Struthio camelus: one gene and its partners. The protein of the gene in region 3 purifies or fractionates together with the protein of the main gene of each other region. This does not show direct contact. Links are inferred from orthologs where the notes say so. Each region holds a gene or a part of one and is shown on either strand. Other genes may lie near its edges.

Region 1 (7,448 bases), on a different chromosome or scaffold from region 3:
GTTGGCTTCATTGGAAATTTCAGAAAGACATACAAGTTTAGACTTCACATAAAAGTTCTGCTGCACATGATTCTTTCAAGTAACTAGCCACAACTTTACTGCTGTCCCTGCCTGCTGGCCTTGAGCTTGCCCTGCTAGAAAAACAGCGTCCTTCTTTCAAGGAGGCTTTAAATATATAAGACTTGTGCTAGCTATTACGCAATCTAGACAGCATCTGCTTTTTACCTCTAACCTCTTAATGCAGCACAGACATGCTATCTGCTGCTTTTGTTGGGTATGAATGAAGTTCATCTGAAATCTTGAGCAACTTTTACTGAACACACGTTCCATCTTTAGGCGCTGACCTCTGCTCTTACTGTAAACTGAAGTCAGTAGACAGTCTAGCATGCTGAATCTTTACCTCACACTGCTTTGTGCAATCCCTTTATTATTTCTGTTTACTTATTTTGACTTACCACAATTAATAGAAGCAGTTCTGGCCTCAGATCTAGGCTGTACTTTGCATAGATGCATACGTATGTATATACCTACACAAATACACAAAATCAATTATAATTCCACGAATTTCACCAACTTCTCCCTTCAGATTCATTTTCCCTTTTGACAGAAAAATCTTCTTTATCAACATCATACAGAAAAAAAAAAAGGTATGCTTTGAAACATTCTCTAGGAGTCAATTAAAGGAGATCAAGGATAGGTGGGTACGGAGGAGGTCAGTGGGCTGGCTCCGGGTTTCAGAAATCTCTGATCTTGATGAGCGCGCAACTGAGTATGGCAGAGCAAGAAAAGTAAGACAGAGGTAGGCGGGTATCTGGCTGTTAAAGTTTACAGACCAGAGGTAACATCTTAGGACCTGGTAATTACTAAGGACTAAGTGCAAACAGTGTCCGCACAACATGCTCTATTCAAGACGTGTAATAGTGCTAAACTGCCCATTCTGAATCCTGTCTGTAATTAGAGCATGGATGGATTCTGACTGACTGTTGGGTCCAACACTAAGTGAACTTCAAGATACGGAGCCAATACTGTTTGCATCCAAAAGCCTGGGAAATCCTGGTCATCTGCAAATAAGATAAGCAATTGCTGCTCCCTGTCATCGCCTAGAAGTGGAACGCCAGCCAACCGCCTTTGTGTCAAGCTGAACAAAACCAGGGGTACGGAGTGTGAATCAAAAGAGCAGATATCACCAGCACCCTACCTTGCAGCTGCTTCTGTCACCTCAGGATTATCTAACCTTGACAGAATTAGTTTTGCTATTAACAGATCACTGGACAAGATGACCACATATTTTAAGACCCCAGGCAAAACCTTAGATATAGAAAGCCAGGGGGACAAAGTAGAAGAGGTTGCCTCTCAAATGCAGTACTTCGTTTTGCCTGCCCTCAAAGGTTACTCTGCTTTCACTATATCAGAATATATAGTGTAGGATGAAGCTCAAAAAAGGTTTCTGCAACCTAATGGCATAAAAGCGCTTGTATCAGTAGGATTATTTCCAACTGAGGAGTAAGTCCTGTTTGTCTACTTACTTTATGTAAGTAGGATTTCATCCACGTGAGCAAATGGACCGCTAGAAAATAAAAATCGCCTCTCACGTTTAACTAATTACCATGGTACAGACATGTTCTATCCAAAGACCAATCTTACTATAAACGATAATTGTTTTCCTAACTCCAAAGTAAGAATTTATTCATGAAAAATACTTGTCGTCTAAAGCTTGCAGTGCTTACCGATGGGAAACCTGAGAGTCTAAGTCTATTGATGCAGGTCAGGGTGGTAGAAATGGAGGAGAGACAGCTTTGCACTCTACAGCATGTCAGAGAGCATTCTGCAAGCAAGCTGTAGAAAAAGAATCTTTGTCTTTGTTGCAATTTGTTGTCACAGCCTTGATCTCATTTCTCTGGCAGCTTCAAATGATTCTGTGTATGCAAAGGTGCACCCGAACTAGCTTGCACTTAGCCTTCATTTAACAGGACCCATGCTCTTAAACAAAATAATGACTCAGCATAGACGACAAGTAGCAGTATCTGTGCAAGCGTCTGATTTACCCTTTTAGGCATTTATAGAAGCATCTTTTCAAACAGAGAATTCGAAGTTGTTAATAGAACAGCTGCCAGTTTATTTGTACTGTTTCTTTCCTATATCATACATAATTTTATGATACCAAAATCATGAGATTAAATGAAGTTCTTTGAAGCAGAACGTTGCTGTAAAAACATTGTGGTATTCCCAAAACAACACATTTTAGTGACATTTTGGAGAAGATTTGAAGTTATTCCAAATTTCTTAAAAGTTTTAGAATTTCCTTCAGATGGTAACAAGCTACCCAAAGGGATACTGTGAAGAATATGCTGAAGGTTGTTAGATAAATTTATTAGTCACTGTATAAAATAAACTACCAATACATAGTTTAGCCTTTGGCCACAGTCTATTATAACCCTTGAACGTACATACTTGCAGCTACAATCTTTCCACAAAGGCAGACATATTAATGTCCTATTTCTAACTGTTTTTTTTAATACCTAAACACCGCCAGAAGGCAAAAGAAAAAAAAAAAAAAACGTAAATCACATTCTATAAATCTTCTATCTATTAAATCTCATTAAATCAGAAATTCTGGCAAATGTAGACAGGGCTTATGATCAAGGGAATGAGCTTTCTCCATCGCAAGCTAAAGATGCCTACAGAGCTGTCCAGATGAGCGGTCCCCACTCTTCCCATAACTGAGGCTCACTAGGAAAGCTGACTGTATCTCACATCACTGGTGTACCAATAAAGATCAGTTTCCTTCAAAACAAAAAAGCCTAAAGGGACACAGCTTCATTAATGACATTATGTCAAACAGTAAGTGAAATGATGATATTAAAAATTATTTAAAAATAAGTATGCTTTCCTTACTAGCTCTGATAGCCCCTCCTTGCCAGTTAGCCGCCCTCTCCACACCCTACTCCTCTGCTGGTTTCTGGCCCACCCTTTGCCTCTCACCTGACAAGGCTCTTCCTTCTCAGCCGGTGCGTTCCCACAGGGAGCACTGGCCCCACTTTCACTGCCTCCTCCAAGGCATTGCAGAGCTCGACCCTGCTTCTTCATGCAGAGGAAGCAGCCACGAGCAGACAGCACTGGCGACTGCCCCCAGGTACCTGCAGGAGCCCAGAGGTGCTGCCTTCCCAGCTGCTCTGGTCTGCTGCGTGCAGGAACTCAGCTGCAGCTGGAGCTTTGCCCCAGGTGGAAGTAAGTGAGATAACAGGAGTGATCAAGGGCAATTTGTCTTTTTGCCAGAGCTGCGCTTCATTGACCAGAAATGACCGTTCTGGGGAAGGCTGCCATGATATATTCATCTATTCTTTAGAACCAGTGCCAAAACAGCTTTTCTCTTCTGCAAGCTGTGTTGCCACAGGCAGAACCTAAAGCAACGGCGTGGACAGATAACATTGAGCAAACCACAGCAACCTGCCTCTGTGGCCTCCTCCAGACAGGAGTGCAACCAGCAGCCACCTGAGCCAGGCTCTGCTGCGCACAGGAGCTCCTCCTGGTGATGGGTCTTCCCCCCCGGCAGCAGCTTTACCCAGGGGTGCCGTGACTCTGGGCCCCATGGTCGTTGGCATGATGCACTTCTCAGAGCGCAAGAGGAGGAGAGTAGCCCACGAGAAATGGGGTGCTATTTTTCAGAGAAGGTCTGAAACAGAATCTTTTCAGGCTCAAAAATGTTCAGGCAGGTGATTTTTCCCCCCTCCCCTAATTTCTGGCGGGGTCCAGAATAACTTACCCGTTTATGTGGTTTTTGTTAAGAACTACATATGGAAGTGTCATGGAACTCACAAAAAATCTAAGCTAAAATGAAATTTGTTCCTACGAGGTTTCCACCTTAAACCACAAGCTTGCGAGCATGAGACTGACGTTGAACATCCAGCAGTGACTATTTAAGGAGCGTGTGTGTGTTGGGGGGGAGGCAAATCACAGTGCCTTGCAGATTACAACCACAGCTTTACAAATAGCAAAATGTCAAGGATTTTTATTTGGTTTTCCCTCAAAACAATACAAGGCAGCAAATCTCCTGCAAGGACTAGGAAAAAACTAATGGCAGAATCTGGCCTTATATGTTTATTCAGTCTAACTCCAGAAGTACCTACAGCATTTTGTCATGTGTAAACACAGGCTAGCTGGCTATTTTTAAACTCATTTAATTCAACACATATGGGTTGAATTCTGTTAGAAATATCTTTCTGATGTAGTTACTGAAATTGCCACTAGACAGAGCTGTTTATCTTATTTTTAATCTCTGAAATACTCAGGACTCACAATGACAAAAGCAAAGCAGTCATGTGCCAGAAATCCAAGAAGAGTTTGCATTCTAGAATCCTTCAGAAAAATGGCATGTGACTAACAACTGCGTGGCACTTACAGCTAAGGGTTATTTTTTGCATCATGCTATATAAAGTGTCATCCCTGGAGCTAAGGGGCTGCATCTGGACTCAAATTCTCTAGTAATTCGCTAAGAGCTAGCGAAAAGAGATGACGGATGAAGAAAACTGTTTTTTTTTTTTTTCTTCCATTAAACTACAGTGCACCTGTTGAAATTAAAAATAAAATTCCTAGAGATTTAAAAGGACTGTGAGAAGTCACTTATTCTATGGTTTACAGTCAACCACGTTTTACCAGGAGAATCTTGGAAAGGGGTACCTATCACTGGGGGGGGGGGAACAGGAAATTCAGGTAGGCGACATATGTTAAAGTCATCACTATGAGTGATAGTAGACTGGATTCAAAGACTAAGACAATATAAACTTGTTAAAATATAACATTACAGTTTAATCACTAAACAGTGATATGGCTTACTGCATATGCTTTAGTATCCATCTGCTTTACTGTCCATGACAAAGCAGCAGTTCCTCCCTCCAAGTAATGCAGAAATAAACCCTGTAATTAAGTGCCTGTTGACATCACAGAGCTATGCAAGTTTATATCATATCATTATTTGGTATTTTCTAATAAATCTAGGGCAAAACATACTTTCTTTAAAGAAAATTAAGTGCTTATTTTGAGATGAAGCAAATAAACAGATAACAGTATTAGCATCAATTTTCCTAGGGATCACATCCTGATTCACATTGCAGGCAACCAAGAGCAGGAATTTCTGGAATTTCTGCAGCTGTAGCTACAGTATTGATTACATGTTGGGACTGTGATTTGAACAGCTGTGAAGCCACAGCCAGCTCATATGAGCTGGTGTTCTTGTATGGTCACAGCCAGTCCAAGTGCAGAATAAAGGAAGTTCGTGTAACTTATCAAAAAGTTTTGATTCATTTCTCAGCTGGTACCAAACATGGGGTATTCTAGTGTCAGACAGAGCAAATGTTGAGGCAGGTAACTTACTGTTAGGCCAGGGAGTCTTTGAGAACATCTAAAGGCTACCACAGGACTTAACTGTCTATCCACCACACTTGAGGACTTTGGGTAATGCATTTGTTGCATAAGAACATATCTCTGGAGTCTTCAGCTCTTCCTTCTCACTTACTCAGCTTAGTTCAAAGTTTACTTTGCTTTCAGTCTCTTGCACCGGTTGCAGACACAACCCAGAGCGTCCTCTGGTAAGCTGCATGCATCTCCCCTAGGAGGCCGCACAGGGCAGCGCAGACACTTCCGTGCTCTCCCTCAGAGCCCAGGCCAGCGTCACCTTCTTTAGATTTGTATTAATGGTGTACTCCTGCTGCTGGCTGGCCTACATATAGGTTTTCTGAGTTGAAAGAAACTTAGGAGTTTGCAGTTGCATTTCTATTTCAAATTTAAGCCAAATCCAGGCTTCTTTCCCATTTATCCTCCTGCAACATTAAAGCCAAACTCAACAATAATTACAGGTGAGATAAAAGAAAAGTAACCAATCTGACTTGGGGTTCCTCACTCACTTTTAACAGTAAAGTAGACACTGAATACATTGAGTTTAGTTTTGCTCTGTCATCAGTGTTTCTTCCCTCAAGCACAACGGAGACCTGAGGCCAAGACTTACACACCCTGTGTGCACGCGCGTGCATCTTTGGGTTTGTGAACGCGGGGCAGATAAAGGTTACAGTACAGCAGCACTTACTTTTGGCAAAGAGAGCAGGGAGGAATGGGTTAATATATAAGTGGCAGATTCCTGGTTTGGGCCCGCTTAGCGCTGAAGAGCTGAACTCCACCTTTTCCTCAGCGCAGTACACAGGCCCAGCCTAGCTATTAGCACATCACACAAGACTAATTTAGTATTTGCAGTTTCCAGCGCTGATGATTTCTATAAAGCTTCTGAAGTCAGTGGCACTTCTTGGATCTATTACCTGGCTTGTGAGTCCCTCCTCACCTGTTGTAAAATTCTTAATTGAAAGCATTAAGTGTTCGCTACTGTCCGTAACCCTAAACGGTCATACCCAAGTGGGGAGCTTAAAAAAAAAAAAGGGGGGGGGGGGGGAAGGGAGAAAATGATGATCCTTTTTTCAGTTCCTCTGATGATCTTTGGACATTGGCAAAGGATTATTCAGATTTTAAAGATGTACGAGGCAGAAAGAAGTGTGGACAGGTGTTTAAGAGAAACGCTGCAGGGAAGATACAGGCACGGGTAGAGACAGCCCACAAAGATCAGAAGGCAACACTGACCATGTGACAGACTGCATATGAGAAAGAACTCGGTACAAAAGGAAATTCTTTCTGCATTAATAGCAGAACTTCAAAAGCCATAGAAAATGCTTCACAGAGCAATGTAAAACTGTTTCTTAATAAATGATAGCTATTACTCCCTAGTAAGAATTGAAATATTACATGTTAACTTTCCATTTCTTCCATTCCCCTTTTTCCTTCCCCCTATATTCCAGCACCACTTTATGGTACTGACTTGGAGCTTATAAATGTTAAACGATCATGTGATTCAGAAACAGAAATTGTATTTTCTTTTTACTTGGCTTCAGTTCTTATTCTTATATTGCCGAAACTGGCACAGTTGCTGTGGTGCAAAATCCCTGGAATCTTCTTTGGATACAGGTGATTCACATGATTTTGCTTCTTTTGCAATTCAAAATACAATTTTTAAAGCCTTCACATCTACATTTTTAAAGATATCCATTATTTGTAATGAAATTGGAGGCCAAGGTCAGATCCAGTTCCTTCAGATTAATGGCAGACCTTTCCTGAACGTGGACCATTCTGACCTCTCTAAGACTCTACAAATAAGGACAGGCTTCTCAGCACGAGGAAAGTAGGCAACGGGAGTTTCTAAGAGCCACGGCCAAGCTTCCTTCCAGAACACTCCACTAAGATCTTCAACAGACTTTCTGAGCAACGGGACTGACTATGGTCAGATCCATGCCTGTGGTGTACAAACAAGTGCTGCTACTGTTTTCAAAAAAGTATATTTGCAACTTTTTCTTCTTGGTCAGACAGCATATCCTCAATTAGAGTTGCAGCAATTCTGTGCTAAGCACTCAAAC
Region 2 (7,048 bases), on a different chromosome or scaffold from region 3:
CAAAATTATTTTAACTACAATCAAGAAAATATAAGCTAGAAAAGATACCATAATTCTGAGAGTATACAACAGGACTTAAAACTAATACTACTTCTCATGCTGATTTTAATCAAAGGCCCGAGTAGTCATTTAATTGAGAGTACCAGGCATTATTACACTGGGGTACTAAAAAGGACGCATGAAGCTGACAGCAGATACTGACTGCAGCCTTCACAAACATCCTCACCTATCATTGACAGGCAACTCTCAATACATCAACTCGGAAGAAAGAGAGAGGGGACAAATGATTAGGGTGTTTTGATTTTACTATTATTCTTCTAAAAATTCAGAAACTAGAAGTAGCTTGCTTTCCAGAATAAGTATCTATATGAGAAGTAACTTCATAGCTGAGCTTGCATCTTGCTGTCAAAGCAGCCTTGGATGTTTAATTTGCAGACACATCCCAACTCCTTGAAGAGTTGTACTTAAGAATCAACTATGAAGTAATGAAAAATGCTGTATTCCAGGGAAATCTAACGTGCAGCACAACCAAAACCTTTATCCAGCCTGCTCCCAATTGTCCAAGGAAAGAGGGCAGGCAAGAGCAGGCTGAAGATCTTCACAGTAACTGCAGCCATCCTCCAGACACCATCTTTTCCAGGGAGTCCCCACTGCTCCAACCTGCTCCTCACCCCATCATGCAGTAGTCACACCACAAAGATGTTTCCAGGAATAACAATAGCCTGTCACTACCAAGAACTCCCGTGATGTATTTCCATGGGGGCGGGGGGAGTAAAAGGAGAAAGACTGAGGTTGAGAGCATAAAATGCTTAGAAAGCAAGTCTTCTGTGCTACCATCTTTCAGAGAAATAGTTTGAATGATTTCTTGTTATGGAGTGTATGTGTGTATGCTCAATCAATCTGTAAATGCAAAGAAGCATATACCTATTGTGCATGCACAGATTAACCACACCAGAGAAAAACTGGGGTCAAATGGTTGCAACATGCAACTTCTTATAAGATGAGGAAAAGGCTACATAGTCCACCCAGGCAACACCACCATTCCCGTTTTCTGTTCTTGCAGAAAGAAGCCAGCAAATATGCGGTTGCAAAGTTTACTGCTAAGCACAGAGCTGATGAGAATTCTTATGTGGATATAAGAAAGCACGTGTTACAGGTTACAATATGAAAGGCTAATGCTATGTAAATAGACCAGTATCTTGCTCAATGAATGGGAGAAAACACATAGTACTTCATGGATCCTCAAGACAATGAAGAAGAAATGGCAACCAACACTGAAAATTTCCAGGATGAAAATAAAAAGCCTGACTGCAGCACTTCAAGCTTCTAACGCAAGACTTCAGCATGTTGATCCACCAGTGAATCTTATTTAAACACATCCCACAAAGGTTAGACTAGTTTTTCACCATGGAGTAGCTACCATCAACTGACTGTTGAAGAGAAACACGTAACACTTCTGAAGTACAAGATTTCTTGAACTGACCTGTTTTCACAACTAGCTTTCAATAACTTATCTCACAAAAACACAGCAAGGTGACTATCCTCTGAAAAACTACACGAGAATAAAGAAATGCTCCAAACAAAACATTCCAAATGCAGCAACGCATGTTTATGTTTTTTGCCTGTCCCCATGTTACCAACACAATTTAGACTCAAAGAAGTCAGTACTATGAAGTGACATGCACACTCATCTGATACTTTAAACATGCAACAAGTTATGTAAATGCCAAGTAACAAAAGTAAACTCATGCTAGCTAGAATGTTTGTTTCTACAGAAGTCAGATACAGATTAATTACTCCATTTACTAAAAGACAAGGATAATGAACTTTAAGAGTTTTGTTAGTTTACTCTAAAGAGTAAAACATTTACTCTTTAGCTGACACACAGTTTCTCGTTGATTAGGTGTCATTATCTTTAAGTTAACACTTCCCCGTAAAAGTTTCAAAACAAAGTCAAGATTCTACAAGTTATAGTCATGCTCCGTTTTTTTTTCCAAGCAGGTGTATGTGCAAGTAAGTCAAAACTACCTACAAGTACTTCAACGAGACTTATGTGAACATTTTCAGTGAATAAGCACTACAAGTACGCTACACTAAGAATCAGTAATGTCTTCCTTCATTTACTGCTAGTGTTGTGAAAGAGAAAACGGTAGCCTTCCCCAAAAGATTTGAATTTTCTTCTCATTCACTTTAAGTTAGCCCTGCACTCCAAATATAAACTTTGGGACGTTTTTAGACCAGGAACATTTGCCCAAATTCTACTTTAGAGTAAAACTACTTCAACTCATTCACTAACCTGTGACATAACGACGCACAGGAAAGAACACTGCTATACATCGTTCAGGCAGATAAAAGATGTAAGTGGAGAAACAGCTTGCGTTAAGGAGTCTAGAGCGGCACGTCCCAGAAGAAACAACGGCACCAGACTGCAGAGCTTTAAGCAGATCGGGCCAGTCAAAAGAGCAAGGCAAGTTGTTTAAAGCAAACGAACCGCTGATCTGTAACAGCACGTGCGTTACTATGCAAAACAACAACACAATGAGAAAAAGCACCCGGCTTCCACCACAGCGCCGAGTTCCCGGCAGGGGCGAGTCAACGCCAACGCCGCCTGCACGCCCACAAGGCGAGAGGAGCCAGCCGTTACCTATGAGCGCCTGGAAGAGGTTACTCTGGAAGATGCTAATGACGCGCTCGATGGAGCTCCGCAGCTGCCGGTCCTCCGCCGTGCTCAGCTTGGCGCGGTACTCCTCCAGGAGGCGCAGGGCGCGCTGCGTGTCTGCGGGCGGAGAGCGGCCACAGGTCACCGCGCGCCGCCAGCACCCGCCGCCGCCCTCCGCGCCGCCCCGGCCCGGCCGCTTCTTTGTCGGCGGCCCCGAGAGCGCGGCCTCGCCCCCGCCGGCAGCCGCCCTCCGCGCCCGTCCCGCCGCCACCGCCGCTCACCTTGTTTCCGGACGGGCATGGCGCTCCCGGCCGCCTCACAAACTTTGAGCCCGGCGCGGCGCAGCGTGGGGGGGGGGGGGGGGGCGCGGCCCCCCCTGCCGGCCGGGCGGAGGCGGCCGCGGCGCCGGCCCCGCCTGCCTCCCTGCCCGACCGACCGGCGAGCGGCTCCGCGGGGGGCTCCCGCCCGCGCCCGCCGCGGCGCGGCGCCTCGCGAGAGAGGCGGGGAGGGGAGGGCCGGGCCGGGCCGCGCTGGGCTGGGCTCACGGCCGCTCGCGCCGCCGCCGCCGCCGCCGCCTCCCGCTCGCGCCGCTCGGAAATTCCAAACTTTCCAGCCAAAATGGCGGCCTGGCGGCTATGGGGAGCGCACCCCCCCACGTGACCGGGCCCGGCGACCGCCCAATCAGAGCACAGCTCGGCTCGGGGCCGGTACCTAGGCGGGGGGGGAGGAGGAGGCAAGGTGAGCGCTCGCCGCTCGCCGCCCGCCTTAAAGGGGCCGGCGCTGGGCACTGCGGCCCGGCCCCGCCTCGCCCGCCCCGCCCCGCGGGCCATGGGACCCGGCCCCGCCCCGCCCCGGCTCGCCCCGCCCCGCCCCGCTCCGGGAGCGCCCGTTGCGGCGGCAGCCTGACGAGCCCGCGGCGGGTCGGTGGGGCTCGGCGCGGCCGTTACCGCGGCGCGGTGCCCGCCGCCCCCCCCAGGTGCGGGGCTCCCCGGCGGGTCGCGCCCGCTCCCGCAGCGAGCGGGGCGCACGGGGAAGTTTGGCGATGCCCCGGTACCGGCCGCGGGGAGCAGCCCGCAGAGGCCGGCCGAGGCAGCCGTTAGTTAGCGCTGCGGGCGGCGGCTCCCGGGCGGCCCGGCCCGGCGCTGCTCACCGGCGTCTACCTGTTGCGCTGAGGCGCCCTCAAAGGAGGCGCAAACAGGTTCTTGCTGTGACGGGGGAGAGACAGCAGACGGAACGAGCCCCGAGCGACGCGGTCAGAAACATGCGCCACGTAAACGATCCCTGCAGCGATATCGATATACCCGTTAACGGGGCAAACGCACACGTAGTAACGCTGATTGGAGGTAATTCCAGTGCCTGTCTCGGCCAGGGGTTACTCGTTTCTCGGGCCGGTGGAAGCTCAAGCAGAAAAACCTCGGCTCTGAAAAACCGCAAACTCCGTGTGTGTGCGTAGGAGAGGCAGATGCTGAGAAGTTCAAAGCAAATCCCGCTGATGTGATTTTTGATCCAGGCTTGCATCTCTCTTTACGCTTTTTTTTTTTTTTTTTTGGATTTAGATACAGCTGAAAATGTACAAGAGCTTAAACCAGGTAGCTAAAAAACATCTGGAAAACTCATGCAAATTTGAAAAGATCAGTCTGGAAATCAGGACCAGATTTGGCTGTGGTCCTAATCTTAAAATAGGGAAAACTTACCCTGCAACAAATCTAACCCAGATCTGGGAAAGGCCTCTCTTGCATTCTCCAATACTCCCATGTTTCCTAGTTAGATTTGCACTAGCAGTTTCTCCTCCCCCCGCAGCTATGTACTGTGAAATTGTTCACATACCTTATTGAAGAAAACACATTATAATATACATTTAATGTATACTGACACACATTTCCCACTTTCCTCCTTTCTTGTCATATTTTCATACTTTCAGAGTTTTGGCACGAAATTTTACCAGTTCACATGTATTTTTAAAGGAAAACGTGTCAAGAAGGAGCACTGGCAGAGGCTTTCATTGTTTGGCCTCTTCAGTTTCCACTGTTTACAGCAGCAATAAATGTACTTTAAAGGGGCCGTAGTCCTCTTGATGTCAGGGAAATGTATACAGAGGGAGAGGAAGAACAGCCTAAATTTAGCTAGCAGAAAGACATCTGCAGCAGTTAGGGTGGTTTGCTGAGCGACAGAAAAGTATTGTTATAGAGGAAAAAAAAGAAAATTTTTGCAATTAAAGGTACCAGCATAAGAAACAAACTACTCTTTCATAAGCAGGATTTGATGTTTCCAAGGCTTTTTATTTTAAATAAAAGATAACCCCAAATATATACTCATTGTGCTGGGAATGGGGAAATAACCCCATACAGCACCTTGAAACAGTATTTATCGCTTGTTACTAATGCTCTGGGAAGAAAAACACACATCAAAGACAGGGTCAGGATGATGGATCAGCAAGCCAGGAAGCAATTAGGTGAACCTTATTGCACCTCAGAGAGTGGTGTTGGTTCCCGGCACTTCTGTTTCAGTTCTAGGAGTATATTTGTTGGCTGAAAGTGGTTGAACCAGGTTGCACAGTACTAAACTTCAGTATACAAAGTGGTTTTGAGCACCTAGCATACATAGAAAATATCCCGTGAATGAATGACTACGCTTATATTTGCACATTACAGTAAGAGCCTGTATTATAAAGCTGCCCTCTATTACACGTCTTATTTTTCAGGCTCCAGTTTTCAGAAAATTGGGTAGTTCCCTTGGAGAGGGGGGAAAACTCAATACGAACCAGACCATCATTTATGCCACGGTTTAAGCAATATAATTTAAATTAAACAATTACAGGCAGCATACAGAAAGGCTTGTGCTTAATTTGTGACTGATGTGGTCAGCATACAAGTCAGCTTTATGCTGAGCGCAACGTATCTTGGCTGGAGTCCAGAGCGACCCTTGGGATAAGAACTCCAGCAGAACTAAGCCAAGAAGCAGTGTCTGCCTCCCCTCTAGCCTTCTTGCCCACATTAGCAGCCGGGGATCTGACAGACAGCTCCTCTCCTCCGCCATTAAAATCCTTCTTTTGCAACTGCTGTCAGCAGCCTGTGTGGGACCCTCTGTCTGGGACCGAACCTTTGGCAAGGGCAGGAGACTTGCCACAAGGCATGCATTGCTCCACTCATTCAAGGAGATTGTGCTTTGGGGCATATCTGTGCGAGAGCAGGCAGCTTGGGACAGCCAGGAGGCAGACACAACACGAGTGTATTGCCCAGATGTGGAGAAATATTCATAACTTGATCCTAGCCCACACAATCCATGCACGAAGGGAAAAGCAGGCTGTGTGCAGGCTGTGTGCAGGAGGCTAGTAAACCCTGTTGACAAACCCATAATTAAACAGAGACAATGTTTTCTCATTTTGAGAAACTGTCAGAGCTTGTTGGTAGGTACCTGCTCTGAAAATGATCACAGCAGTGACCCGAGCCGGGGGTTTGTACCTGCCTGCGCACTCGCTCCTCGGGCAGACTCGCTGCCAGAAGCTGCTTTGGAAATGGCTCTTTGTGCCATTCCACACACCTGCATAGCTGGCACCTCACTGTGCGGGGACAGGGGGCGCTTTCCAACTTCTTACCCTGTTAGCCTTGAGTCCCACTGGAACATGTTGATGGCCGCGTAGACCACTCAGGATGGGAATGTAAGTAAATCTGGCTTGCCCCGGCACCACACGCAGTAGCTGGTTAGGTACGACAAGCTTAGATCAGGAGACTTCAAGAAACATTAGCTAGATCCACACACGCTGCAGCAATCAACACAGCAAAGGCCATCTAGAAAACAGGACAAAGAGGACAACGGATGTCACCACATTGCAGCAGTTTGCAATAACCAGTATGTCCCAGAAAACATGAGCTCAGATGAACTCTGTTTAGGGAGGATGGGCATTAGAGTAGAAGGTGAGGTAAACTAACTAACTAAATAATGGTACAATTATTTATTTCAAGTTGGACACGAGTGCATAAGCTGGCATATTGCCAGAATCGGTAACTTCGGCAAAAAGAACTGCTGTAAACTCAGGTGTTTTTGATATTGGGGTTACTAATGAAAAAACTTGAAAATAAGAAAGTTAATCGTTTGTATATCTTATGTTTGTCATCTGCTTAATGCCTACAGACTAAAAGCAGTCTCCATATAAGCATACGGCACAGATGATTTCACTTTTTCATGCAGAACTGGGAATTGTTACTCATAAAAGGATCTCTGACAGCTGCAGAAAGCTTTCACTTCACTTCCCTTGCAGCTCAATGCAATGTTGCACAGCTAACTGGGGGAGCAATGAAAGTAATGAAGCCTAATTTCCTCTGGCTAATAAGGAATGAAGTCTGAAGGAAGTTAGCTTATTATGCCTCACCTCGTCTAGATTCTCTAATG
Region 3 (7,850 bases):
AATACACACACAGTGTGCACGAATTGGATGCAACTAAACCAGAAGATGCACTTGCACCATTAATGAGCATTCAGATCAAAGGACCAGAACATTGCTGAGAAGTAAAAAACCAAAGCAGACACACAGAATAGGAAAGTTGGGTACTCGGCACTCTACAAATTGGCTTTTAACACAGTGCTTCTCTTGATCAGGTAGGTATAGACAACGGATCCCATTAGCAGCACTTTCTCCCCCCAACAGTTACTTTGTTTTACCACCTTAACAGGACCTAGTTATACTAGTTTGAAAGTGAAACGAGCATAACTTTCTCACACCAAACTAATGCAGCAATGCAATGCTAATCAAAAGCTGAAGACTCACTCTGTCTCAATGCTCTACTGCTTTGGAAAGGAACTAGCCAGCTGGGAAAAGGCGGTAAAGTATCTTCTTCTTACAGCTGTGCACAGAGAACAAAAGAAAGGGATGCCAACAGCTCTGTTGATCTCGCCTGCTTCCTCCTGAACTACTGCTTGGGATATGATCAGCTGATAGCTTTCTTCCTCATTATATTAACACTATAGCTTGGCCAACTGTTCAGAACCAGAGACTGAAATGAACACTACAGATTTCTTGTTAAAATCCTTCAAAGCCAGAAATGATGCAAAAATAACTCCAGAGGTAGGTGATAAAAAACATAAAACTCATTGTAAAGCTCAACTCACACATCATTTAAAAATGGATTTTCTTTGAACCTTTTCCTCTTTTTTAAATTAGTTGCCTGTTCTTCACAAGTTTAGTGACCACAAGATACCAGATTGAAGTGCTGACAGGAAAACACACTTAAACCAAGAACGTGGAAAACCGGCAAAATGCCTCCACTCTGCACATGCATACGTATGAACAAAACATAGAAAGGAGGAAAAACGCAACATCAGACATTGCATTGTTAGACATTGCTAAATAACCACTTCTGCTGCTTCTGTTCAAATAGTCTGCATTCCTAAGGTGTATGTCGATTTATCATATATATCACTAAGCTAAAAGAACAACTTCAAAACGTTAAATGTTGTTTCATCGCTTCACTCCCGTGAACCTGGGTGGTGGTGGCTGTGATACAGCTTAGAGGAAAGAACAGAAGGGGAGAATCTTCATTTGCCCTGATAGTAAGCATATGGTAACCACTTTAAATCAGCACATTTTCTACGGTAGCCTCTCTTTTCTTATGCTATACGCCAGCAACATTAGTAATGCTCATTTTCATGCTGACAACGATTCATAAGGTTATTTGCAGTCAACCCCATAGAATTAACAGAGGTTGTTTATTTCTGTAAAGAAAGCGCTTACTTCTGTAGCTTCATTATACAGACATTATACTGTAGTCCCTTTTTCTTCTTTTCTCCAAAAGACTAACGTGCCAGAAGACTTTAAATAGCTCCTTTGTTCCATTGATCCCTAAGTAACTGCACAGATTTGTTTTTCATGCGTAGAGCATAGTGGCAGGGTAATGAGGTGGACAGGGATGCTGCCTGAGGTTTAACTCAGCAGACCTACCAAGAGCAACTAATCCACCGCCAAAGCAGCTGCTCTAATTAACAAGCTTTGGAGGAGGGAGGGTAGATAAGCTGTGGAGTGGGAAGTAAAGTTCTTACATAAGTACTGTACTATTTACAGACCTTCCCTCACACATTACAAGTGATTTACTTGTGGAACAGTAAGGAGAGGAGACAAACAGAAGAACTGAATTCTGTGGTGAGTAACACTTAACAGTATCAACCACAAAGAAGTGGGCATATAAAATATGTAGTTACACATCCATACAGAAGCATCTAGAATGCTGAGCAAAGATGGTGGGCCCAAAGGGAACGGCAATGGGAAAATAATCAATTCAACTAAGTCACCTACACTTCATATAATTGCTTTGCTTTTCAAGAATAGAATTCTTGATTCTCGTTATTCTTTTAAAATTCCATATTCCATTCACTATTTTTACATACATCCTAATATACCAGTCATATATACTGCTTATACATGGATGCCCTCACAGAGCTCCTGTGGGCTTGGCACAATTCTGAAGAGCCATACTGAAGGGAATTTATTATTGCTTCATAGAATGCTGGATAAGAGACACAGACGTGTACTACAGAAGAAACAGACAATTCAGTTTTGGATTTTATCTGCTTCTACTTACATACTACACAATATCAGCAGTACAACTTAGCACTGAAAACGACAAGGTCAGGCCAAAGACAGAAACATGAAAGTGTAAAGAGTTAAGCAAAATTCATGACCAAATGTTTTGTTTGTTCATGCAAAGTTTCCTGTACAAAAAAAAAAAAAAAACAAGGCCTGCTGCTAAGACACAGTGCAGTAAATTAAACTCAAGAATTTAGCTTTGATCAAGAGTAAACAATCCAGTGGAAAAGGCAGAAACAAGGAGTCAGCTGGTCGCGTAAATTGCTGGCGGAAGTTTTGACCCCAGCGAGGGCGCTGCACACACGCACCTACAGCCGGTCGGGGCGAGGGCCGGCGGAGCGCCCGCCGCCACCCGCTCACAAGCCGAAGCCCAGCAAGAGAAAAACCCTCGGCGCCTGCCGAAAGAAAACGCCAGAGAAGCGAGACCAACCCACGCAGGCACGGAACCGGCACCGAGAGAAAACACTTTCAAGGGCCATCTGCTGCCCGGCTGCCCCCTCGCCGCCTCCAGGGCGGCGCAGACCCGCCCCGCACAGCGCCGGGCCGGGCCGGGCCGCCACCGCCATCCCGCGGCCTCGGGCCGGCCGGGCGCGTCCCTGGGGCCCGAGACCGAGAGAGACTGCCCCAGCTCGGCAGCGCCAGGCCCAGGCCCAGGCCCAGGCCCAGGCCCAGGCCCAGGCCCAAGTAGCGGCGGACCGGACCGGACCGGACCGGACCGGACCGGACCGGACCGGACCGGACCGGCCGCGGCAGCAGAGCCGGGAACAGACTCACCTCGCTCCAGCCGCACCGGCTCGCCCAGCGCCGCCATCTTCTCCTCACGCCGGCTTCCGCGGAAGTGACGCAGCGCCGCGGGGCGGGGCGGGGCGGGGCGGGGCGGGGCGGGGCGATGCCCCGCAGGGGGCGCCCTGGCCCCGCCCCGCCCCGCCCCGGCGCGTGGCCCTAGCGGCTGCCGGGCGGCGACGCCGGGCGCCATGTTGGGAGCGGTGAGCGCTCGGCCCGTTGCGCGGCCGTTGCGCGGCCGGCTGGTGAGCAAGGGGAGGCAGCCGCCCCCCCCCCCGCCGGCCCCGCAGCCTGCCTAAAGCACAGAGCAGCGCGGCGGCCGCGCATCTGCCGGGACCTGTCCTCCCCCCCACCCCCCGGCCTTTTCTGTTGTGGTGTTGTACGCCCGGAAAGCCCGGGGCGGGGGGCTGCGCACCTAGAGCGGCCGGCGGCCGGGCGACGTCGGCCCGGGTGCGTTCTGCCTTTTTTGCTTTGAAAGAGACTGGTTCTGCTCGGTCAGCCACAGGTCTTAAAAGCGGCAGCCGAGGTGACAGGGATGTACTCTCCCTGCTGTCTGTGATTGATTTGGATGCCAGTGCCCCTCCGTGTGAAGGATGCGGTGTGCGCGTTTCGGTGAGAAGGTCACACGAGTGGGAGTTTCACAGGTGGACAGCATTAAACCCGTTTCCAGCGAGAAAAAATGCTTTAGCAGCTGGAACCGTGGAAGGTGTAGAGTGTTTCTGGAATGAAACCCAGATGTTGGTGCCCCAGTGGTGTAAGAGCTACCATCCTGCTCCAAGTGATCGACACCTTAAACAGCCTGTTCTGGACAGATGAGCCCAGGGAGAAAATGAGTTTTAGGCAGCGTTTCTATAATCTAAGGCTTTTCCAGAAGGCACATGACAAGAATAAATGTATCTTTGGAGTAGCGTCGTTTTGACTTCAGTAAAGACTGAAGATGCAGAAGTAAAACAGCTGGTCTGCTTTCCTCTAGACCCACTGAACTGGACAACGGACTGTCATTCAGACCTTTCTGCTCTGAAATACAACGTTATGAGAATAATAAAACCTGAAAGCAAATTTTATATCGTGTTTCCACTGTCTGCATCATAGCCCCATCCAACTCAAACGTTTTGCTCCAGCAATCTGCACTGAGTTATAGCTGCACACTGGTGAGCTGTAGGGGAAAAAAAAGGAAGAAGTAGTTTGGGTTTTTGGTTTATGACCTGTGAAGAGCGTTGCTAATTGAATACTTGCTTATCATTGTTTGTCCTTTGTTCCCAGAAGGGAACTTGCTGTCTCTAAACATTTTTTACTTGAGAAAGTTAGGTCTTTACACTAGAAGCTCTGTGGATAGCAGGAAGACTAGCGGAGTTACAGTCTTACAAAATAATGGAAAAGAAACAATTGAAGCAACTGCTTATTCTTTTGGGGTATTTGCTTTTTCACAACACCTGTGGAGCTCAACCAACTGAAAACTATGCAAATGAAATAAAGCTATGAAATGAAATTTGACATTGCTGTCCCTTTTAATAAAAAGGCTAAAAGTTGGTGTGTACACTTCTTCCATGTCCTGCAGGAGAACCGAAGAGTGACAGGCTTGATATTCCCCTGGAAGAAGAAATGGAATGCCAATGGAGGACCACAAAGGAGGGGAAGAAAATAAAAGAGCAGACTATATAGAAAAAGAAAAAAGCATATATACCCATTTACTTTTTCCTTTCTGAGGTAACATTCAGCACATTTTTTCCAGACTTCGAGATATTTGCAACAGGGTCCAAGTTAAAAAGCTAGGCATTGTTATGGCAGAGTTATTTTAGTGCATCAAGGAAGTAACCACTGTATAAGTCATAAGTCTGATCCTGCCCCAAAGAAGAGAATGAGTTTAACTACTGAGTTTATAACATGCTATGTTTTGCTCAAGAAAAAGAAAAAGCATAGGTGGATACTGACAGCTTCAAAATTTATGTGACAAAATATTTGTGCCATCCTAGTCTTGAAATCCCTATTCTGGCAAGAATTTGGAAGAAAATCAAAGCAAATAGCATATCATCAAACAATACAGAACAGCAAATGAAAATTTCTGTGTCAAACTCTTATCCTGAAATACACTACAGGTCTCAGAAGTGATTCCCAAAAGGGGGGGGAGGGGGTACTCCTCCTGAATAACTAAGAAAAGGTATTTGCACAGGAATGACTGAGATGCAGGCAAGATGTAAACATTACATTTCACTTTATATATTTTGTTAGCTATAAACTTCACTGTAGGCATTTTGCTAACTGTAAGTATAATTCAATTACTATTTTAGACTCCGTTGGCTGTGTCATTCTTGCTTGTGAAATCTCTGTCAGGGTTACTGTACTTATATCCTCATTGCTGAATGAACCGGAGTGTTAGCAGCTGCACTTTAAAGCTGTATGAAACATTCACGCTGCAATTTGTAGTATTTGTCAGTAACACTTCTGGGAGCAGACACGTCCTGCAGGTCTTTTGTGGATGCGGTGACACTCTAGAATTGCTGTTGAAGGAATATCAATACTCGAGTGATTTTGTCTATGTCTTTATTGGAAAATAGTTGCATTACTAGTCCAAGAAAAAGTGGGAATCGGTCTCTAGTGTGAGCTAGCTTGGGATGAAAGCACAGTTTACTTTAGGTGAGAAGAGGTTTTGGTGCATGAGTAAGAGGATGAGCTTTCTTTATAAATTACTTAATTCATAAGTTCTTAATAATATTTTTATGACAGTGTCTACAGCCATGGCCATGGGGCCATTTTATTCTAGGTGTTAGACATAGGCAGGTGGATAGGGAGTGCAGATACTAAAGGACATCTCCAGAATTAGCTAGGGAAAAGGCAGGAAGAAGAGTGGTTCAAGAACTTTCTCACTTTCATTCAAGCTTTATCTGGGGTGCAGAGTTCACGCTCGAACTTCTCATGAGAAAGAGGTACTATTTACAGCAGTGCAGCAAGACGTTCTCACAAACAGCTCTCGTGGATATTCTGATTCAAGAGTAGCTTGGTTTGGTTTAGCTTAAATACTTTTTTACTAAATATGCGCTAAACCAAAAAAGCCATGAAAATGGGAATAAGAAAGTGCCTGTGCATTTGTTCCAGTGCAATTCTATCAGTGCAAACTTATGTCTTAGTTATACTGGAAAATTATTTTTCATGTGTATAGGCCTATGCTTGTGTGTTTATGGGACCATTCCTCAGGGGCCTGGTAGATAATATTTTCCTTTTCATCCCAATGGTATGTGTTAGCCACAAGGAGGGACTGTAAGAATCTTTAGAGGCTATAGAAAACATTGGAACATGGTATTCTAATATTTTATGGTCCCAATAACATCTTTAGAAGAGTAACTGTGCTAATTGGTGCATTGTTTTAATGCACAGATGGTACAAATTCCACACAGACAGTATTTGTATATTTATTTTCACACGCACTTGGCCAAGAATGATCTCAAAGCACTTTAAACATTATTAGGCAAATGTTAAGTCAAAACTGAAAGGAATTTTGCTTGAATAATTATCTAACTAGTTGCTCAAAGGTAGTTTGTGGCCCGTTACTCTAGGGGGAGCTGACAATTGCGTAACCCAATACACCAATGAGGAGAAAAAAATTTTGGCCAGAAATGGGTAGCGGGACGCAATACTCACTTACAAAAATTGCAGTGGAATCTCTGCTGCCCACAGAGAACAATGTCTGCCTTGGAAACCTGACAGGCCGAATTAACCATGATAGGACTTTTATTTATGATTCAGGACAGTGAAGAGAGTCCAAATTCAATTTTTAGGTTATTAAGATATCCCTTTGCCTCAGGACTACCATGTTGGTAGAATTTTATTGCTTTAATACCACTGAATTTAATCACTTTAAATCTGACAGTTGTATTAGTATTCGCAATTTCAGCAATGCCTTAATTCATTGGCCTAGCCCAGAGTGAGTTTCATGGTCTGCCACACACTGTGATTGATTGCTGTTGTCCCTGTCAGAGTCAAGGGTTTTATACATACCAGAGAACGTGGTTCCTGCTTGTTGTGCCCATACTTGCAATTTTTCTATCTTCACGTGACAAAACAGATTTTTGCTTGGTTGTTACATGTCACAGAATACACTTTCTGATTAATCTCTCACACACTGGTTAACGTGTAGAAAGAGTCCAGCCTTTTGGTATGTGCCACCTAACCTCCATGCCAAATATTTTTTTCCACATAAAATTTGACTATTTGAGTTGTTTCAGAATTTTTCTAGTCACTCCTGGCAAGTGTGGGAGCGTGTAGCAGACATATAGAAACCCCTGCTTGTTATTCTGCTTTTTGGAAATCTTGTCATTACCATTTTTTTCACCCCTCTTGCACAGATGAAAATGCTGTTTACTGATGACAGTGCTGACAAAGGAAGCAGAATCAGACCAGGGCATCAACAAATCTTAATTACAATTAATTCTCAAAAATAATTAATCCGTTTTTTTGCAGAAGAAAGTATGTATCTTATGAGTGTTCCTTTTTAATAAACTTATAAAATATGTAGAAGTCATAAATATCTTAAAAAATCTATAGAAGGCCTCATACAAATGAGACAAATGCACCTTATTGTGTGATGTAGTGAGCGTACACTCTGTTACACAGCTTCGCGGGAACCCTTTCATCATTAAATTTTTAAGGACAATAGTCTTCTCTTTACAGAATAGTCCTCCATGACAGAGAAACAATGACAAATCTTTGTCTTTTTCTCTTTTTCCCTTTTCTTTAGTAGTCTATACAAAAGGAAAGACTCTTTTCAAACACTACTTCGCTATGACAGAATTTACCACTTCCCGTATGTGAATGGTGATGGTATAATGTTTAAGCTGGTGCAGTTTTCACCCACAAGCACATTTTCCTCAGTACACGGTGACAATTGTTCAGACAGTGGA
Region 4 (7,204 bases), about 17 Mb from region 3:
TTAGTATGCAATTGGACATCCTCGGGACTATAAAACAAGTGTCTATCAATAGATAGGCATAGTATATCACAACTGCTTTAAAAAGAAAAAAGCTTATTTGAAAATATCCTGGCATATAAATAACTTATCTGGCTATAATTTTTTCCTTTTGTTTAGAAATCTGCCTCACATTTCAACTTGAATTATATTTAAAGTATTTCACTACATAGTTATGTCAGAAGCGTGGGGAGGAGGACATAAACATAAAACACTTATTCCGCCAGAACTGGATAAAGCACTGTGCTGGATAAAGCGCTTCAGTAGATAATTATACTAGAAAAATACTTTTTACAGCACACCTGATTTAAAATTACAGAATAGGCCGTGTTTCCACCAAGTCAGTTTCCATCACATATGTACCAGCATATCTTTTCAAATTCACAAATGCCTCACTTGGCCCATTATCCAAACACCGTAATATCAAGCCTTTCTATAATACTACTTGTCACATTAAGAAGTTTTTTTTTTTAAATGGCCAGATGCTACAAAGTTTAAGAACTTTAAATTTGACATACGAACACAAATACTGATCCTTTTTTCTAAGGAGCAGCGGACTGTTTGAACTCTTAGCTACCAGAACTCTAAAGCCTAATATTTTATTAGGAATGTAGTTAATCAAAAGTGCAAATTAGGGAAATCTGAATAGTTGAAACAGGTAGTTACAACTTTTATTATTTGATGTTAAGCGTCAGTCTTTAAGGAAACATCATAACAGAATTTACATCTACAAATGCCGCAGGATTTTTGAAAGATTGCAACTTCAAACTCACTATAGTAAGAGATTTTGATTACAAAGCAGCAAATAAAGTGTTATGAAAATATAATTATTTACATGGAAAAAAATATACAGACACACATAAACTTCAGATTACATTGTTTTATGTGTCCATAATCCTCGGTACAAAGGCTAACCTCCATATTACATTTTTACTGGTTCTACATCACATATTGCTTGCCCGGCACCCCTCAATGGTCTGAATAATTCTTGCAAATTCCTAAGACAGCTAAGTCAGCCTACTGAAGAAATATTTTGATTTACATTTCAAAGTAAGTTCAGATCTTGTGAAAGCAAATTCAGTAAAATTTAAGTAAAAACACCACCTTTACCATCATCTAATTCCTACAGAACACAAACTACCACCCATAACTATTCCATACTCCGTAAGGACACATGATACACATTAGAAGGAGGCAAAGTTTGAAAGGGCTACTTTGAAAAGAGTGATCGTGTATTAAGAGTAATGTTAATTAAATTTAACATTGTAGTACACTGGTTCACAAAGTGCTGCAATATAAATATTTGATGCTTTGTTAAACCATCAGCTTAGCATGTAAAATACAGAGGGTTTTTGGATCACAGTATGTTGGCAAACAGTTAATATATGTACAAAACACAGCTACACTCTACAGCATTGGACATTTAAATGTGTAACTACAGTTCTAAGGTGATTATGAGAAAAAAGAAGTAGCATTTGTGAAAATTCAGATGACAGATCAAAAAGAAAAGATTACAGGCTCAGACGCCTAACCAGAGACACATCAAAGATATCCTATTCTTAGGAAATTCAGGAAAAACACCCCAATTCTCCAAAGAGACAGACAGGCCCCTTCAAGACGCCTGAAGCTGCGCACCAACGCGGCAGACACTTAAAGAAAAACACCAGTCACTTTTTAAAAGCTCGACTACAACGTCCAGTTATGCAAAACACAAGTATTTTTCTAACTGATGCAGTTAGTTTATGCCCAAACATTTCAATTATAAGGGCTTCAAGCTGACTTTTCCCCTTTTCATATTCCTGATTATTCAATTTTTTCCCCCAGAATGTCTGTCTCACCTATGAGACATTAAAGTCATTATTTTGGACAGTTTTTTTTTTTTTTTAAATATCAACAGTTTTCAGTTCGACCAAATACAAAGTCCTTTAAGGTACTCGCGCAAGCTGACGTCGCACGCTCCAAGTCACCGTGCTCTCTGCCGCCTGCCCGCGCAACCCCTGCCCGGGCTCCCGGCAGGAGGGCACCGCCGGGGCAGGGACGTTCCCAGCGCAGCCTCCAGAGTACCGCCGCGCCCTCACCAATACGCGCGTTCCCCACTGCAGATCATTAAACTACACTGGCAGTCCAGGGCATACTCAACCTACTTTAAACTAATCCTGCGAAGCTCCACAAACCGGCGGTCTCTTTACAGAGACAAAAGTTTCCAAAACACGGAATTGCCGGCAGATCGGAAGTGCAAGAAGGGAGAGAAGCATTAAGTGCGCCCTTATTGAAAACAAAAACAAAACCGACCAAACCAAAACAAAGCAAACAACCCCCCCACCCACCCCCCCACCCAAACAAAACGGCCACTCCTGCCACCTCACGGAGAGCACAGCGAAGAACAGCCGCTTCCTATCACCTCTCGGCCTGCCCTCGCAACGCCTGCCCCGGCCAGCCGCCCCGGCACGGCGGCGGCGGAGGTGGGGGGAAGCTCTCGGCGGGGCGAGCCGGGCCCCCTCGCCGCCCGCCCCACGCGCTCCCGGCAACGGCGCAGGCACCTGCGACCACCGCGGCCAGGGCCGCCCCCCCGGGCCGCCCTCCGCGGCCAGGGCGCTGCCCGGTCCCCCCGAGGGCCGCCTCGGCCGCCGGCGCGGCGCGGCCGGAGGCGCAGGCCCGTGCGGGCGCCGCGGGCAGGGCCGCCGGCCAGGCTCCGCAGCCAGCCCGGGCTGGCGGCTGCCCGCCGGGACCTGTTAGCTCCGCGCCGCAACGCGGGCTGCGCTCACCGTCCTTTCCTCGCCGCCGCCGCCGCCGTCGTCACGCTCCGGCCGAGCCACCGGCTGGGAGTCACGGCCGGCCGCCCGCACGTCCCCGCGCCGAGCCCGCGCACGCACAGACACAACTACCGCTCCAGCCCCACCGAGCTGCGCAGCCGCCGCCGCCGCCGCCGCCAAACGCAGCCCGGCCCGGCCCCGCCCCCGCGCCCGCTCCCAGCGCCGCCGCCGCCCCGCCCCCTCCCCCCCGACGCACGTACGCGCGGGACCCGCCCACCGCCCGCCGCAACCGGCGGGGGCGCGCGAGCCGCCCGGCTGAGGGGGCGCGTCGCGGGAGGGGGGAGGGGAGGGCGCTGAGGGAGGGCGGCGGCCGCCAACGGCTGCCGTCATGGTCACTCCAGGGCGGGCGAGGGCTGCAGGCGGCTCGCGTCGAGAGGCGAGCGGGGGGCACGGCGGAAACCAGGCCCTCCGTGGCGCCGGCGTCGTGTGCCGCCCCTGCGCGGCGCTCGCTGGGTCGCGCCGGGGCACCGCAGCTGGAGCCGCTGCTCCCTGAAGGGCGGCTCCGTCCTCCCCGAGGCCTGCGCCCGCCGCCGCCGCCCTGCAGCCTCCCGCCGGCAGCCTGGGCTGGCGGGGGCCCGGGGCGCTGCCTGCCGCCGCCGTCCCTTCCTTGCCCGTCGTCTCCCCTTGTCGCCTCGCAATCCCAGCCGAAGGCCGAGTCGGACTGTTACGGGAAGAAAAATGCTTATTCTGAGATTCAGCTTTGGAAGAGCAGGGAGAGGGTCAGGCACAGACCCGCTGTCTGGAGTGGAGGGAAGAGGTCATTAAACACGGTTTTACCAGGTCTATAACCGTGGCTGCTTTACGAGACCAGGGAAATACATCTTCAGCGCTGCAGTTTAGTTTGACTTTGAACTAAAAACTGCATTCCCGCCCCCTGTTTTTCAGGCTAGCCTGCGAAGACCGTTGCCTGAGGCATTAAAAGAAATACAGCAGTCTGAGATGACTTGACCTTGCCAAGGTAGCTAGTTCCACATAACAAGGCCAGAAAAAACAGTTTCGTAGGCCACTAAAAAGCCATTAAAGAGACACCTCCTTTTTGCCCATCTCTTCTTGCTTCAGTTTAATCATTACAACTCTATCATTTTCAGTTATGAAATCCACACTTCTAACTTCCTATAAATTGCCTTCCTATACCATGTTTTGTTTGGATCCCTTTTGAACACGCAGATTCTCTCTGTTTAAGCCACAAAACCAGATTCCATGATTCCTGAGCATATGACATGGCCAACAGACCTGCCGTTAATGTACGTCCTGTCCGGTCAGTTGCAGAGGACACTGTTAAGACCTTTTCACACTGTGGCTCAGGCTCCCTTGGAGTTTTTCATTTTCAGAGCAGCAATGTCTCTTCACTATCAGAATCAACTGTTTCAGCTCTGACCTTGTTCAGTAACAAGGGCGTTTGAATCAAGTGAGCAGGAGTGGAAAAAGTGAAGCAGTACAAGAAATAGCAATATGGGTGGACTGTGGAATTACTTACTTTGCAAAGGAAACGGAGGGAGAACATTACAGTACTAACTCATGGCTGAGCAGCACCAGAAGTAGTTCTTTCCACCTTCGTATGAAAATGGTGAGGGTTCACGTGAACCCTTTTTTACACACTGTTTTGGGAAAGGACCTGAGAACCAAAAAAGACTTCCTCAAAATCTGATACTTGCTTAGAGGTTACAATAGCTACAAAAAGTGTCTACGTTTAGCAGTTGGCTATTCAGTGGTCTCGTCTTCATCCTCATCCAAACCGATCGCTGGTTTACTCTCTTTTCTCTATCAAAGTTTGGTGTGAACAGACTAAAAAAGCCACAAGTTCTGGTTACAGCTTCCCTCAGTTGACAGCTTGTCACTCTCAGTGAAAATCTCAGTGCCTCTAGTGTGTGTGTTGCCCAAAGCCAGTTTTTAAACACAGGAGTTTTCTTCAAAATGTTACGCAGTTTATCACAGATCAGAGAAACATTCGCACCAGTTTAGATTTTCTATTTCTCTCCTTTGTTCTCTTATCTTATATTTGTAGCTAAAGTTTTAATCCTTTTCAAGGGTTGCCAGACCAGGTTAAGGCTGAGCTTGGGATTTCTCTTGAATATAGCTGCTTAAAGATGCGTTTGTTTCTTTGGTAACCAATCTCCTCCCTCAGGCTTTCACAAACCCTAATATTAGCCTTTGCCCAGCTGGCAAATCCATTCATAAGATGCTTGAATGAGGCATGCTTGGCTAATTCTACCCAACAGATTAAAATGTTCTCTCAGACCAAGAAATTGTCATACCTGAAAAAGGTTTCACAATAGCGCACAGGATCAGCAGCATTATTCATAAAGAGCCAGATAACCTTTTCCTTTAAATCTTTGTGATAGCAATTTAAATGAACAGATCTAAATGCCAGTTCATTTTGCCTTGTGGGTACTGTTTATTAGTATGCTGAAGAACACAAAAATTGCTGTGGGAAAACCAACATTCCAGCTTGAATTTAACAAAACAGGCAAATTAAAAACAAGAGCTACAAAGAAAGAGGACAAATGGGAGAATGAGGAAGATGAGGGAAATGGAAAAATGATGGGGAAAGTCTCTATTTATTTTGTCTTAGCTGACTGATCTTTGATATGAGGATCTACTAAGACAATTCTTAATGGAAATCAGAAAATTACTTACCAGAGTACTGCCTCTGCTGTTCCATCCCTTCTTCTTCAAAGCTTTTAATGATTATCTTCAGGTGAAAGATAATCGGAAAAGAAATACCCACACAGTTGAGGCCTTTTATGAGTTTGGAGCCTGAACATTTTGATTTTAGAGATGCACTTCCTAATGGCTTTACTGTCAGTCATTATGGGATCATCAAAGCATACTTGGAGCTACAGAACCAATGTATTTAAGCAACTTAGTTTATTATTAAAGTAGAACCTTCTTTCATTCCGCAAACAAATTCGTTTACAAAGAAAATGCTTATCTTTGATGAAATAACTTTTAAGTGAGTTAGGATCACTGTCTCCCAGCAGGGTACTCCTATAACCGTTGATCATTCTAAATCTGGCTGATTGTAATCAATAAAAAAAAATGTTTCTGACAGTGAAGTTGAGTCCTGAGGCTAACATAGGACCAACTGTTTTCTTTGAAACCATTGCCCTCTGGAGGGGGAATGAAAAATCACAGAAGGACTAGGTAGAAATTCCCTTTTATATCACTGCATAACTGAATTTATGTTTTACCGTCCAGGAGCGGTTCTACAGGCTGATGCAAAAAGGAATGCTAAGTCAGAAGGGCCACGGTGGCAACAGTGCTTGTGTTAGTAAAGGCTGGAGGAGAAGAAATCCCCATCTATCTGCCCCATTACTCTCCTCCCCTTTATCTCTAAACTCTTCATCTCTGAACTCACCGAACATGTAGTCTACAACAGATGTACTTTCTCTTCCAACTTCAACTTGGATCCCTTCCAAACTGGTGTGATCCCTCTTATTTGCCAAAACATTTTTAATGGAATCCCTGAAGAATTCTTGCCTACCTGAAGGCGGGGTCTGTGTTCCATCCTCTTTCTTGACCTTTCTGCTGTTTCTTCATTATCTTGACTGCCCTTTCCCTTTTGATCTTTTATTCTTGCGAGGTTTTGAGAAATCGTCTTCTCCTCTTTTTAGCTCTCTAATTTCATGACTGGCACCTATATAAATAGGCTCTTCTCCTCCTGTGTCCAAGGACTTCATAAGGATTTTTCCCTTCCCATTTTAATGTCTCCTTTAATTGAAAATAAATGAGAGCAAGCTCCTTCTTTCTTAGACTTCTCCTACCTATCCTCCCTGTGTTGCAGGGGAAATGAAAATATCCCACAGTGGCCTGTCCGCTCTGATTTATAGCAATCTGATCTCTCCGGGCCTCAAATCTAGTGACCAGTTTAACCCTGAGCATGTAAGCAAGACACATCAACTAGTGCACCTGTAGGGCCAGCTGTATCCAGTATTTAGTGTTTCAAAGAAGAGTGAAAGATCACTAAAAGTGCAGAAGCTAAATTATGTTTTAAGTAAGAAAAGAAAAAAAAAAAATCTCTCTTGGCCCCCATAGTCCAGCAGCAGAAACCCTGAACCTTGAAATTAATAGAGCAATCCAATTTCATTTCAGCCTTTCTTGAACTACCACAACAAATACCAGGGACTCAAAGAAAGATTGTCATGTTTTCCTCCTTTATAGCACCTAGAACTGTCCTTTACTTTCTATCCAGTAACCACTTTTCACATTTACGTTCATCTGGATGAAACATCTTCTCTGGCTTCTGGTATTCTCTGCCTCACTTCAGGCCTTCAGATCTCAAATTGTACAACTCCAAGTAAGGTCACAGTTTTTACAGATAGACTCATAAATCGAACAGAAATTCATTTGTAGAA

The links.
Region 1: the proteins of LIN7C (region 3) and ARHGEF26 purify together in Homo sapiens (affinity purification with mass spectrometry; 3 studies listed by BioGRID and IntAct, counting the BioPlex papers as one, with this or other methods). This does not show direct contact. The link is inferred for Struthio camelus from reciprocal best matches to the Homo sapiens genes LIN7C and ARHGEF26.
Region 2: the proteins of LIN7C (region 3) and DLG1 purify together in Homo sapiens (affinity purification with mass spectrometry; 4 studies listed by BioGRID and IntAct, counting the BioPlex papers as one, with this or other methods). This does not show direct contact. The link is inferred for Struthio camelus from reciprocal best matches to the Homo sapiens genes LIN7C and DLG1.
Region 4: the proteins of LIN7C (region 3) and PALS1 purify together in Homo sapiens (affinity purification with mass spectrometry; 3 studies listed by BioGRID and IntAct, counting the BioPlex papers as one, with this or other methods). This does not show direct contact. The link is inferred for Struthio camelus from reciprocal best matches to the Homo sapiens genes LIN7C and PALS1.

Annotation. Positions count from the first base shown.
Region 1 is NC_090950.1:32,963,560-32,971,007, forward strand, and holds the start of ARHGEF26 (rho guanine nucleotide exchange factor 26), read right to left. Parts: upstream 3,002-7,448; 5' UTR 2,983-3,001; intron 1-2,982. UniProt on the Homo sapiens protein: Activates RhoG GTPase by promoting the exchange of GDP by GTP. Required for the formation of membrane ruffles during macropinocytosis. Required for the formation of cup-like structures during trans-endothelial migration of leukocytes.
Region 2 is NC_090950.1:18,055,519-18,062,566, forward strand, and holds the start of DLG1 (disks large homolog 1), read right to left. Parts: upstream 3,011-7,048; 5' UTR 2,960-3,010; coding exon 2,941-2,959; intron 2,777-2,940; coding exon 2,645-2,776; intron 1-2,644. UniProt on the Homo sapiens protein: Essential multidomain scaffolding protein required for normal development. Recruits channels, receptors and signaling molecules to discrete plasma membrane domains in polarized cells.
Region 3 is NC_090946.1:29,274,391-29,282,240, reverse strand, and holds the start of LIN7C (protein lin-7 homolog C), read right to left. Parts: upstream 3,021-7,850; 5' UTR 2,984-3,020; coding exon 2,947-2,983; intron 1-2,946. UniProt on the Homo sapiens protein: Plays a role in establishing and maintaining the asymmetric distribution of channels and receptors at the plasma membrane of polarized cells.
Region 4 is NC_090946.1:46,765,850-46,773,053, forward strand, and holds the start of PALS1 (protein PALS1), read right to left. Parts: upstream 3,008-7,204; 5' UTR 2,802-3,007; intron 1-2,801. UniProt on the Homo sapiens protein: Plays a role in tight junction biogenesis and in the establishment of cell polarity in epithelial cells.